Macaca mulatta: one gene and its partner. The protein of the gene in region 2 interacts with the protein of the main gene of each other region in a pairwise test. Links are inferred from orthologs where the notes say so. Each region holds a gene or a part of one and is shown on either strand. Other genes may lie near its edges.

Region 1 (5,322 bases), on a different chromosome or scaffold from region 2:
AGAACAATAATATACAGTTTGGAGGACATAGTACAGAACTATAGTTTTTTTCTGTATTTGGTACCAATATAATAAATATATAACAAAGGTGCACTTGTTCTAAAAATAAAACAGAAACATTCTAGTTGGTTAGATACTGCACTTTCAGTACTGCACATCACCTAATACTTTTTTTTTTTTTTACAAAAAAGGTAACTTATGCAATGTTTAATAATAAGAAAACCAATAGTACACGCTAACTCGATTGTAGAAAAAGAAGAAAGAACCCAACCAAAAGCCAGAATAGTCATTTTCCAAAACAGCCCCTCCTCCGCCTTCACAACTAGAGGAAGTAATCAGAACGGTGAGGCGACTTCAGCACCAGACCTGGCTGGACAGCTCCCAGATCCTCTGTAAATTCTGAAAATGTCACAGGTCAAAGGTGTATGGGTGGGGGCGGGGCAGGGAGTGAAAGCGTTAGCTTTTTTAAAAAACTCATTTAAAGATTTTAACGTACTTATGCTCGGCCAGCGAGGGTCATTTTAAAAAGTAAATTAAAGGTTCTGTCCTGGAAAAGGTAATAGGTAATAGTTAAACAAAGGGTGAGAAATGGGCTGACTGGCGAGGGGTACCTGTCATAAACACTTTCTGGGGACTATTCTCTATGCCCTCTTGCAGTCCTGGTGCTTAATGTAGACGTTTTCTTTATAATATACTATTGCCTGAGCCCGGCTGAGGGTGGGAATGGGGAGGAGAGGGAAGCTAAAGAAAAAGTGAAAGCTTAGGGGTCAGAGGGGAAGGAAGGAAACTAAACCTTAACTTGACAGCTATGTACATTACCGGGCCCCCTCCCCTCCCTTTGCTTCGGGAATCAATGCCTTTTATATATTTGGTAGCTTGTGCGGTTTCTCCTCCTAATTGAGGGGAGCGCGGATTGGAGTGGGAAGATGCATCCTTCATTGACAATGAGAAATTATGTGATTTGTCATGCGCTTGGATTGTGTTATTAGTATTATAATAATTACTATAAATATTAATAAAGTATTATTATCAGCGTTATTTCTTCTTCCGAGACTTTCCTCGCCCAATATTTACAAATACCGCACAGTGCCTCGGCGGAGGAGAAACAAGAGTAAGGGGAGGGCAGGTAAGGAAACCAGGAAGAGGAAAAGAGGGGCCAGAGGAAAATGGAAAAGGAAGGAAGGAGGAAAAAAGCAAGGATGGCAAAGATGATGGAAACAAGGACGGGGAACGAGAGGGGCTAGACGATCAGGACAGTACCACCGTTTGCAAAAGGCCCTCGCCAGCTGTGTCCAAACAGGAGGAAGCTGCGTGTGCTCCTTGGGGACTGGAGGCTGGCGGTGGAGGCGGAGGAGCACAGGGACCCTGGCACGGGAGGCCAGGGGACGAAGAGGAGGACGACGAGGCGTTGGAAGGGGCACAGAAGGGAGAGTCCCGGGGCTGCCTCTCCAGCCGGGTTTCCTTTGTGTGGGTTGGGGCCTGCCTGCCAGGTCGGGGCAGACCCCCGCCACCGCGGCTGCCGCTGCAGTGATCCCGCTCATATTCCTCCTGAGCCCTCTGCATCTTCCGCTTCTTCATCCTACGCTTGTGGATGTGGAAAGTGGAGAGGGACAGCACGATGAGGCAGAAGATGAGGGTAACCAGGACAATCAGCACCAGCGTGGAGGAGAAGGACTGGAAAAGCTGCTGTCCCACCTGCGTGATGCAGGTGCCGCTGCCACCTGCGCCTGGGCCGCGGGCACCCGTGTTGCCACTGCCGCTGGCGTTGGGGGAAGCAAAGGTCCGGTTGAGGAGACACGGCGGCAACGCCAGCCTCAGCTCCTTCGGCGCCCTGGCACTCATTGGCGCGGGGCTGGGAGGGGCCGGGCCCACTAGGCTTCCCCTCTTGGGCACACTGTTCCCACCAGCCAAGAAGAGGACGGAGCCCACGCCACCCAAAACTGCTCCCTGTAGAGGGAGGGGGTGTGCGAGCAAGCCAAGGACTAAGGGAGCAACTGCTGGCAAGCAAGGCGACCAAGGAGTGAGCGGCGCCCGAGAGATCCTCGCCGATCCCACCTGGAACGCGTCTTCACACGCGCACCTTTCCTTCGCGGAGGCACCAGGCTGCAAAGACACAAAGCTTAGTTAGAATCTCGACCGCTGCCCAGGGGAGTGCGGTCGGGAAGAATCAACCACCACCGCAAAGCGGCCCTCTCGGCACGCTGCCTGAGCTGGGCGCTGCCCGTATTTTCGGTCAGCGGACCCCAGCCTGCCCACCCGTGGCCGTGCACCAGAGCCACCAGCAGCCTGCTCACCCCACTCGACAGGATGGGGTCTACGCCGGCACCGCGGAGGTGCAGATTACTCAGCAGATAAGGCAACCTCCCTTCCGCCCTTCACAACTTTATAATTGCAACAGACAAGCAGCCGCTTCGGATTGAAGTCCCTACTTCCCAGAGCTCCGGCTCTCCTCTTTTCTGCGCCCTCTCGGTGGATGTCTTCGCCTGGATCCCTCCCCTCCCAGCACCCACTCCGGGCCACCGCGGGGGCTCCGGGTACGCAGTCCTTCCTTTCCCTCCCCCTCCAGACTTGCCCTCCCTGGACGGCATCAGATCCCTTGGGTCCCATTCCCAGGGGGATACCCCTGGAACCACATCCCACTCTGCCTCTGTCCGCGACCGCGGCTGACGAGCAGGAACGCGCTCCATCTCTTCTCCAGCCTTCTTCCCTGGCATTCTCCCCTCTCCAAACAAACAAAAAAAGCAGCTGAAGCATCTTTCTCAGCCGACACATTCCCACGAACGGCCCCCTCCTCCCCATCTCTCTATGCCCCCAACTTGGCAGTAGCCTGATTCTTTCTAGAGGAACTGGAATGGAAAGAGGAGGGTTCCCGCCTGCAAAGTTTGGGGAACAGACCTTCTTTCAGTCCTTCCTAGACCCAGCCCGAAGGCCCCGAGGCTTTTCCGGCGTACCGGAGCCGGTAGACCCGCAGCGCACAGGAGAGCCTCCTTGCTGTTCCCAAGAGGCAGCTGCAAACTGTTGCACTGCGGAGCAGCGAGGCAGCGCACAAGCAAGCCGGGGCAGGGGCAGAGGCCGGGGCCGGGGGCTGGAGCTATGACCGGGGTGGCTGCACAGGCCGCGTGAGCTGTCCTCCCCACTCGCGCCCGGCCGTCAGGCCACCCGGCCATCAGAAGCCTTTAGTCACACCTTGTCTCTTACCTGGACCGCCAGCTGGCTGCAAGGAGGGAGCCCCCGCCGCGCGGCTGCAGTGGCGGCTGCAGAAGGCGCGGATTGAATGGGCCAGAGACCGAGCCGCGCTGCTGCTGCCGCTGCCGCCGCCTTCGCCGCCGCTTCAGCGAGCTGAGCTCGCAGCCTATTGCCAGAGAGGCCGGTGACGTCAGGCAGCCACTGCCAGGGCTCCAAGCCACCCCTCAGGCCCCCACCCACCCTAGCACCCCAGCACCTTGTCCTAGCATAGCGAGCCTCTGACAGACACTTCCCAGTTCGCTGCCCTTCTCCAGCCCAGGAACTAGGAGGAGCAACCCCCATCCCCACCCTGCAAGCAACCCACCTTTCTCACTCTCTTGCCTAGGAAGAGTTGAATCTTCAGTTCTCCAGCTGTCTGATTTCGTTCTAGAGCTGACCCTTTGGTCCCAGAATCACACTTTTACACCCTGGATAACCATTTCCCATCAGTGCACAGATCAGACTTTCTCCCTGGAGGCTAATGAAAATTTCCCCCACCCCCAATTCCTCTCTGTGCTGCCCCTGGTTCTGAACATAAACTGCGTGCATTAGATGACAGGGACATTTCTCAACACAGGTGTGACAGAACCCAAAACACAAACCTGAACAAATTAAACAATTGAAATTAACCATTTTTCTCCCCTGGAGTTTCCAAGTTATCTTTCACTCCATCTGATTCATGATCCTTCTTGCAGCCCTCACATCCTCATCTCTAGGCCCCAGACTCACTCGATGTATTAAACACTCCTTCTATTCTGTCACTCTAGACACTCATGAACACACAAAGCATAGTCTTACAAGGAAGAAATATGAAATTATTCACAGGAAGGCAGAAATGAACTGCTTTATGAAAATTGCAAGTATTTGTAGCTTGCACAAAGTACCCCTTCATTGGCCCTAATTCTTGGTAAAGTGTTTGGAGCACAACCTTTTAGCAAAATGGATAGAACTTCCAGAAAAGAACTCAACAGACTCCCTAAATCTTGGAAGAGACTAGTTAACTATTGGTTTAGGAGGCTTGGAAAAATATGAATAGTGCATTTAGTTACAGAATCCAGCTTTGAAATGGAGTATGCTCATTTTTCTGTTGGAGAAGCTAGCTGGGAACAGTACCTAAAGACATTGCATGGTTTGAAGGCACTCAGGTGTATTACTAAATGTGTATTTTCTTCTTTCCTCCTTGTTTTCTATCTTTGAGTCTGGCACAGTGCCTTATAGCTTACTTGATAAATTAAATGATGCAGTGTATGTTGTTGCTCTTTCATGCTATGCCTCAGAAATGACTGATGCCCAGTTATCTGCTTGTATTTGCTGTATGTGTAAAGAAAGAGGGTCTGACATGTGGAGGAAAAGGCTGTCTGTAATCTGGGGGTCCCTTCTTCTGACTCTCTGTTTAGGCTCACATAGTCAGTCACTGATGTCTGCCCCCCGCCCCCACCCCAATGGTAGCATCACCTTCCTGCCTGGAATGAGAGTACCAGATGCCTGCAATAGCCACGTGCCACATTTGGACAATTTGACTTTGGTGGGCTCAGGGGATAGAATGGTGAGCCTTTTTTTTTTTTTTTTTTTTTTTTTTTTTTTTTACTCTGTGATTAAGTGACATTTTACCATTGATGCCTGACAGGCAATGCCCCATTTTTTCACACTCGCTTTGCTCCTGAAAAGTTGAGTCTAATAAACATTTTGTAAAGCAAATCCAATTTAGATTCTCCAAAAAGAGATCTGGCTATTTCAAGAGACTCTTCAGCAAAAAATAAAAGTTTTTTAAAAAATGTTATTTTGTAAAGCAAAGAATTTTTACATAATTAGAATTAACTCTTGGCCATGCATGGTGGCTTACGCCTGTAATCCCAGCACTTTGGGAGGTCGAGGCAGGTGGATCACCTGAGGTCAGGAGTTGGAGATCAGCCTGGCCAACATGGTGAAACCCTGTCTCTACTAAAAATACCAAAAAAAAAAAAAAAAAAAAAAAAAAAAAAGAAAGAAAAGAAAAGAATTAGCCAGGCATGGTGACAGGTGCCTGTAATCCCAGCTACTCGGGAGGCTGAGACAGGAGAATCGCTTGAATCCGGGAGGCAGAGGTTGCAGTGAGCC
Region 2 (5,231 bases):
GAAACACAGAAAAAAACAAACCTGGATTCAATGTGGAGAAAGCCGAAATCACCCTCATGATCTGTGAAATAAACTATTTTCCCTTAATGACGATTGGACTCATTTTTCCATGTCAGTTCAATGGCCACCAGAAATTACAACAAAACACATTTTTCCTCTCTTGTCATTATGTGTGTGTGTGTATATATATATATATATGTTGTATGTGTGTGTTCTGTTTACCGGAGTCCACTGCCAAGGTTTTTAAATGTGTTTAAGAGCAAGTTGCTGATGCGATGGGTGGGCAGAGAAAGGGTCAATGTAGTGGTTTTGTGTAATGCCGGGCTCATTAATGGCACTTACCAAATACCCTATTTATTTTAATTGTGGCTTTCAGGGTTAGAAAGAAAAAAACCAAAAAAGAGGGTAAGAGTTTTTCAAGAACAAAATATAAACCAAAAATAGGAAATTAAGGCAAAATTACCCGGATCATTCAGGCCACCTTAGTTTCTTTTCCTGAATTTCTGACATTATAAACCCCCTCTCTTCACAGTCTTATCTGTTTTGTACACGACATCTCTTGGACAACTTAGGTTCTGAAATCTTCCTACCAGTCCCCTTATTTTTTACATAACAAGTGTTTTGCTAAAAATATCCATACTTTCTAGAGCCACATGCCATTCCTACCTGAAAAAGAACACTGTCAGGTAACAGGACAAGTAAGAGGCAGCAACCATACTGCAATGGTCCGCGATTATACAGCAATTATTACACACAACCTCGCAAGGACAGAGGAGCGTCCAGGAACAGGGCAGGCAATCCCTCGGTCCTGGCAGCTGTTAAGATGGGTCAAGCGGAAAAATGTGCCTTTTCTATACTTAATTTTAAGTGGGTATGATTTTTAGGACATTGAACCTCTTTTGCTACCCACCAAAAGGAAAAAAAAAAAGTTTTCTCAACTGGGTAAATAAAGATGGTTTGATATAATATTCTAACCCTGAGAAGCAAACAGATTGCACATTTAGCTGAAATAGGAAGATTTCTGAAGCGATAATTATTTTGATATGGTAAGTGAATTAGTTAACTATAGTAATTCCTAAAAAAGCAAATTTAAAAAAGCATTATTTTTAAAATTTTTTAAGTGGTAGGGAAAATAAATAGCAAAGCAGCCAGTAAAGTTCAAGAAAAAAAGTCAGAACATACCATTCAACTCTCCATTGCTTTGAAAAAAGAAACGCCAGTAGCATTCCTACACTTGTAATTAGAAAACATGCATGTAAACAACTCTTCAAATAGTCTTTTATAATAAAATAGAAAATGTCCTCGGGTGAGAAAGCAATTTTTGACTGACTGCAACTCATCTAGGTTTTCACTACCATACAACTGGGTAAGAGAGTAAAATCTCCGATTTTGCACTGTTTGGCATAGTCTCGCTCCTCTACCTTCTCCACCTAAATAGTTCCCATTTCCCAAGTGGACAATGTGCAGAGAACTTGTATGCATTAATGAATTCCTCTGCAATTTTGGTTTCACTATCAGAATTGAAGTTTGCACACAACAGTGTCTCAACAATGATCTCAACGTCCTAACGCTTTAGAATCCGTTTACCTTCTGTGTTCACCTAGATCAGGATGCAATACCTGTGTGAATCTTTTCGGGTCATATTGAGCCATGCACTTTCCTGCATCTGCACACACTCTCAAGTTCCTCTAGAATGTTAAGAACTCAACTGTGTGTGATATTAAAAAGTACGCCAGAAGTAATTTCTTGGACTCCAGATAATGTACCTGCAGAAACAGTCATTTGGTAGGATACCACAAATACCCTACTACTGAATTCTGAAACGTTTGTTCCTGAGTCCGACTCCCCTTCTGACTACATCTACTCAATTTTGTTTCCACCGAAGGAACGCTCCGCAGTCACAAAACTTTCATCGTGAAGACGCACCACCCAAAATGCGTGCTCAGAAGTCAAAGTCCTATAAAAGTATCCTCGATGAGCATTTGGTGAATTGCTGCGTTTTTAACCCTCTTATTCTGCTCCCCTCATCTGCACGGCCCTAAATTCGCAAGCGTTCACCGCCCAGGTTCGGGGTCTTTGACTCAGCAGAGAAGAATGTGGCTGATGAGTTATCTATTAATCCAAAAACCCTCGGCTAGAAAGATATTTCACCAAGAACTTTTAACACGGAAAGGGAGGGGGCAGGGAACAGAGGTATCTTTTAATGAAAACTTTTCCCCAAGTTTCTTCCTTAAACTGCCCCCCCCCGCTACCCCGAATCCACACACAATTTCCAGCCCCAGCCCTAAGTCCTGACCCTCCGAGTCCCGATCATCTGAGGTCACCCAGGAGTCAGCTCTCGGTTCCACTTTTTAAATCCCGGGCAAACAAAGCTGAGCATTATACTTACAAAAGTCTCCGAAAAGTCCTTAGAGTTACGCAATTTGGGGCCCGCAGACGCGCGTGGACACAAAAACACACTTTCCCGAGATCCACCCTCCCCGGGCCACACTGCGGGGCTGCGTCCCGGGCACGGGCCATGCCTAAACCTTCCACCGCCGCGCCCCGGGCCCGCGCCCGCGCCCCGCCGGCCGCCCGCACTGGGTCCCGGATCGCCCCCGCCACTGCACCGAGCCGCCCAGTACCTCCTCCTCCTGAAGGTTGGCCTCGCTCGGGGTGTTCTCCTTCTCGGCTTTGCCGCCGTTGTTCATCTTCCCGGTCCTTCCTCGCCGGGCCGGGCAGGGCTGGGGCGCGGGGCTGGGCGAGGGCGCGCTCGCCCACTGTAGCCTTCCCCGGGCGCCGGGGCTCCCTCGGGCGGGCGCCGCGGGCTGCGGGGCTGGAGCTGGAGCCGGGGCAGTGGCTGTCGGGCTGGGGCTCCCGCGGCGAGACTGCGACGGCAGCGGCGGGCGACTCAGGAAGTACGAGGGAGAGACGGGGCAGGGCGCGGGCCGAGAGCTGGGCACCGAGACAATCGGGCCCCGGGAGGGCGACCTGGATAGGGAGGGCGGGAGCCAGGGGAGGAAGGAAGAAGGAAGGAAGGAAGCAAAGGATGGGGCGAGAACGCGCGTCCCAGGAGTAAGCGCAGAGAGTTGGGGCTGGGGGCTGCAGCCGCTGGAAGGAGGGGACGGGGGTGCCTAGAGAGGAGGAGGAGGAAGAGGAGGAGGAGGAAGAGGAGGAGGAGGAAGAGGAGGAGGAGCGGGGCGGAGAGGCGCGGGCGGCGGCTGGGACGCTGGGACCCGAGAGCCGCTGAGTGCGCGCTCCAGGCAGGCTCTGGGAAGTCCGGGATGGAAGCAGCTCCCTTTCTCTCGTCTTCCTCCCTCCCCTCTCCCCTCCCTCCTCTCCGCGCCTCTCCTCCTCCCTCCGCCCTCCCTGGACGTGGGCTGCCGGCTGCAGCCCGGAGGGACGGGGCGCGGGACGGAGCCCCCCGCGGGAGGAGGGGCCGGCGGCCGGATGGCGCGCGCCGGGGAGGGGCCGCGGGCGGCGGGCGGAAGCGGCGACCCCAGCCCCAGACTCGGCGGCTGGTCGGAGGGCGAGGGCCCTGGAGGCCGAGGGCAGGGGAGGTCGGGTACTGCAGTTCCCTCGGCCCCCGGGGGCCCCGGCGTCTGCGCGCCCCGGGACTTCGGGGACCCTGCCCCGCCGGGGCCAGGACCGGGAGCTGGGATGTGTGCGACTTTTGTTTGCCGGCTTTTACCAAGGGATTTGCACCCCTGGCCCTAAGCCCACCCTTCCCGAGCCAGACCCGGTTCTTCCCCTGCTGCTTGAATGACAGGATGAGAACTCGAGGGATACTGGGGACAGCCCCCTCCGGGCCGGCTTTTTCAGGACAGGGCTTCAAACCCATCTCCAGCGCGGGTCCTGCGACGCGCCCGGAGCCTTCCCCGCTTCGCTGCCTGGGCGTCCCGCGGCCCCCGACTCCTCTCCCAACTCTCACCCGACTGTTCTGGGATTGTTTACTTGGCCTCTCCCTCACCCTTCAGAAAGCTCCTTCCTGGAAGAAAAAACCACAAACTTACCCTATTTATCTTTTTAATCCCACGGCTATTTAAACGAGCTACCGGGTGTATAGTAGGCACTCAATAAATATTTGTTGGCAAAGTGAATATTCCTCATTGCAGGCAGAGCTCGGGGTCCACACGGAGGAATTTCAGAGGCTGGAAGCACGCTTGAAGAAGAAAGGGGGCCTGGGCTTTGCACCAACTTCAGGATTGCGTACTTGTTTCCTCATCCGTTAAATGGGAGCAGCTGAATGTGTCTCCTAGCGTTTTCGAGATTGTAGGTTGATAGAACTATGTACAGCACCCAGTATTCATTCTTGCTTCGTTTAGGTTTACAGTACATGGAAGCTAACATTATTAAGGAAACTTCCATTTTTCCCGGGCCTTAGAAAGCTTTTCCAATACTCGATCGTTAAAGCTTCTGGTTTTTTTTTTTTTTAGAAAAATGAGGGTCTCACTTTGTTGCCCAGGCTGATCTCGAACTCTTGGCCTCAAGTGATCCTCCGGCTTTTGGCCTCCCAAACTGATGGAATTACCGTCTGGAACCACTGTGTTAAACTCTTAGATTTGACTGCTACAAATGTATAAATGTGGAACTCCATGTATCAGTGGGTTCTGCCCCACTTCTTACTCCCAGGAATTCTCCGTCCCAGCCTGCTGCTCCTGTCCTGCACCAGTAAGTTTCTAACTACAGTATTTGCTTAACTGTTTCTCCCCACCCCCCAGCAGACATTCTTTATACTGATTTAAGTGCTGCTGGGGATGGGGGGGGGCGGCTGTGGGCGTTGCAGATAAGGACCCTCCCTTTAGGGAGTTTAAAGTAATACGGTGGCTCACGCTTGGAATCTCAGCACTTAGGGAGATAGAGGAAAGAGGATTGCTTGAGCTCAGAAGTTCAAGACCTGTCTGGGCAACATAGTGAGACCCTGTTCTCCACAAAGAGGGGAAAAAAAGAAAAGACAAAAAAATAAAGTGGTATGGAGCCAAGATACTCTCAGAATCCTCTTTCCGATTATAGAAAGCGAGGAAAATATTTGCTTTAAGGGCATTATGAGAAAAACAGTAGTGATACCTGGATTTACATACTGGGTTTATCTTGGGGGTTTGGAGATTTTGAAACAGGAAGATTTCCATAGGGAAAAGATGTTTTTTAATTGCTGTCATAATGTGATTTCTCTCTAAGGGGAACAAACATGTATCCTGGATGAAAATAAACCAAGTCTATTGAAATTGCAACCCAAGACATTCAGAAGAGAC

Evidence for each region. The genes of interacting proteins can lie anywhere in the genome.
Region 1: the proteins of RBPMS (region 2) and C14H11orf87 interact in binary tests that used the Homo sapiens proteins (3 or more experiments, as listed by UniProt). The two-hybrid records come from large-scale screens. The link is inferred for Macaca mulatta from reciprocal best matches to the Homo sapiens genes RBPMS and C11orf87.

Annotation. Positions count from the first base shown.
Region 1 is NC_133419.1:110,243,551-110,248,872, reverse strand, and holds the start of C14H11orf87 (uncharacterized protein C11orf87 homolog), read right to left. Parts: upstream 3,328-5,322; 5' UTR 3,199-3,327; intron 2,104-3,198; 5' UTR 1,843-2,103; coding exon 1,249-1,842; 3' UTR 1-1,248.
Region 2 is NC_133413.1:32,158,535-32,163,765, reverse strand, and holds the start of RBPMS (RNA-binding protein with multiple splicing), read right to left. Parts: upstream 3,252-5,231; 5' UTR 2,691-3,251; coding exon 2,625-2,690; intron 1-2,624.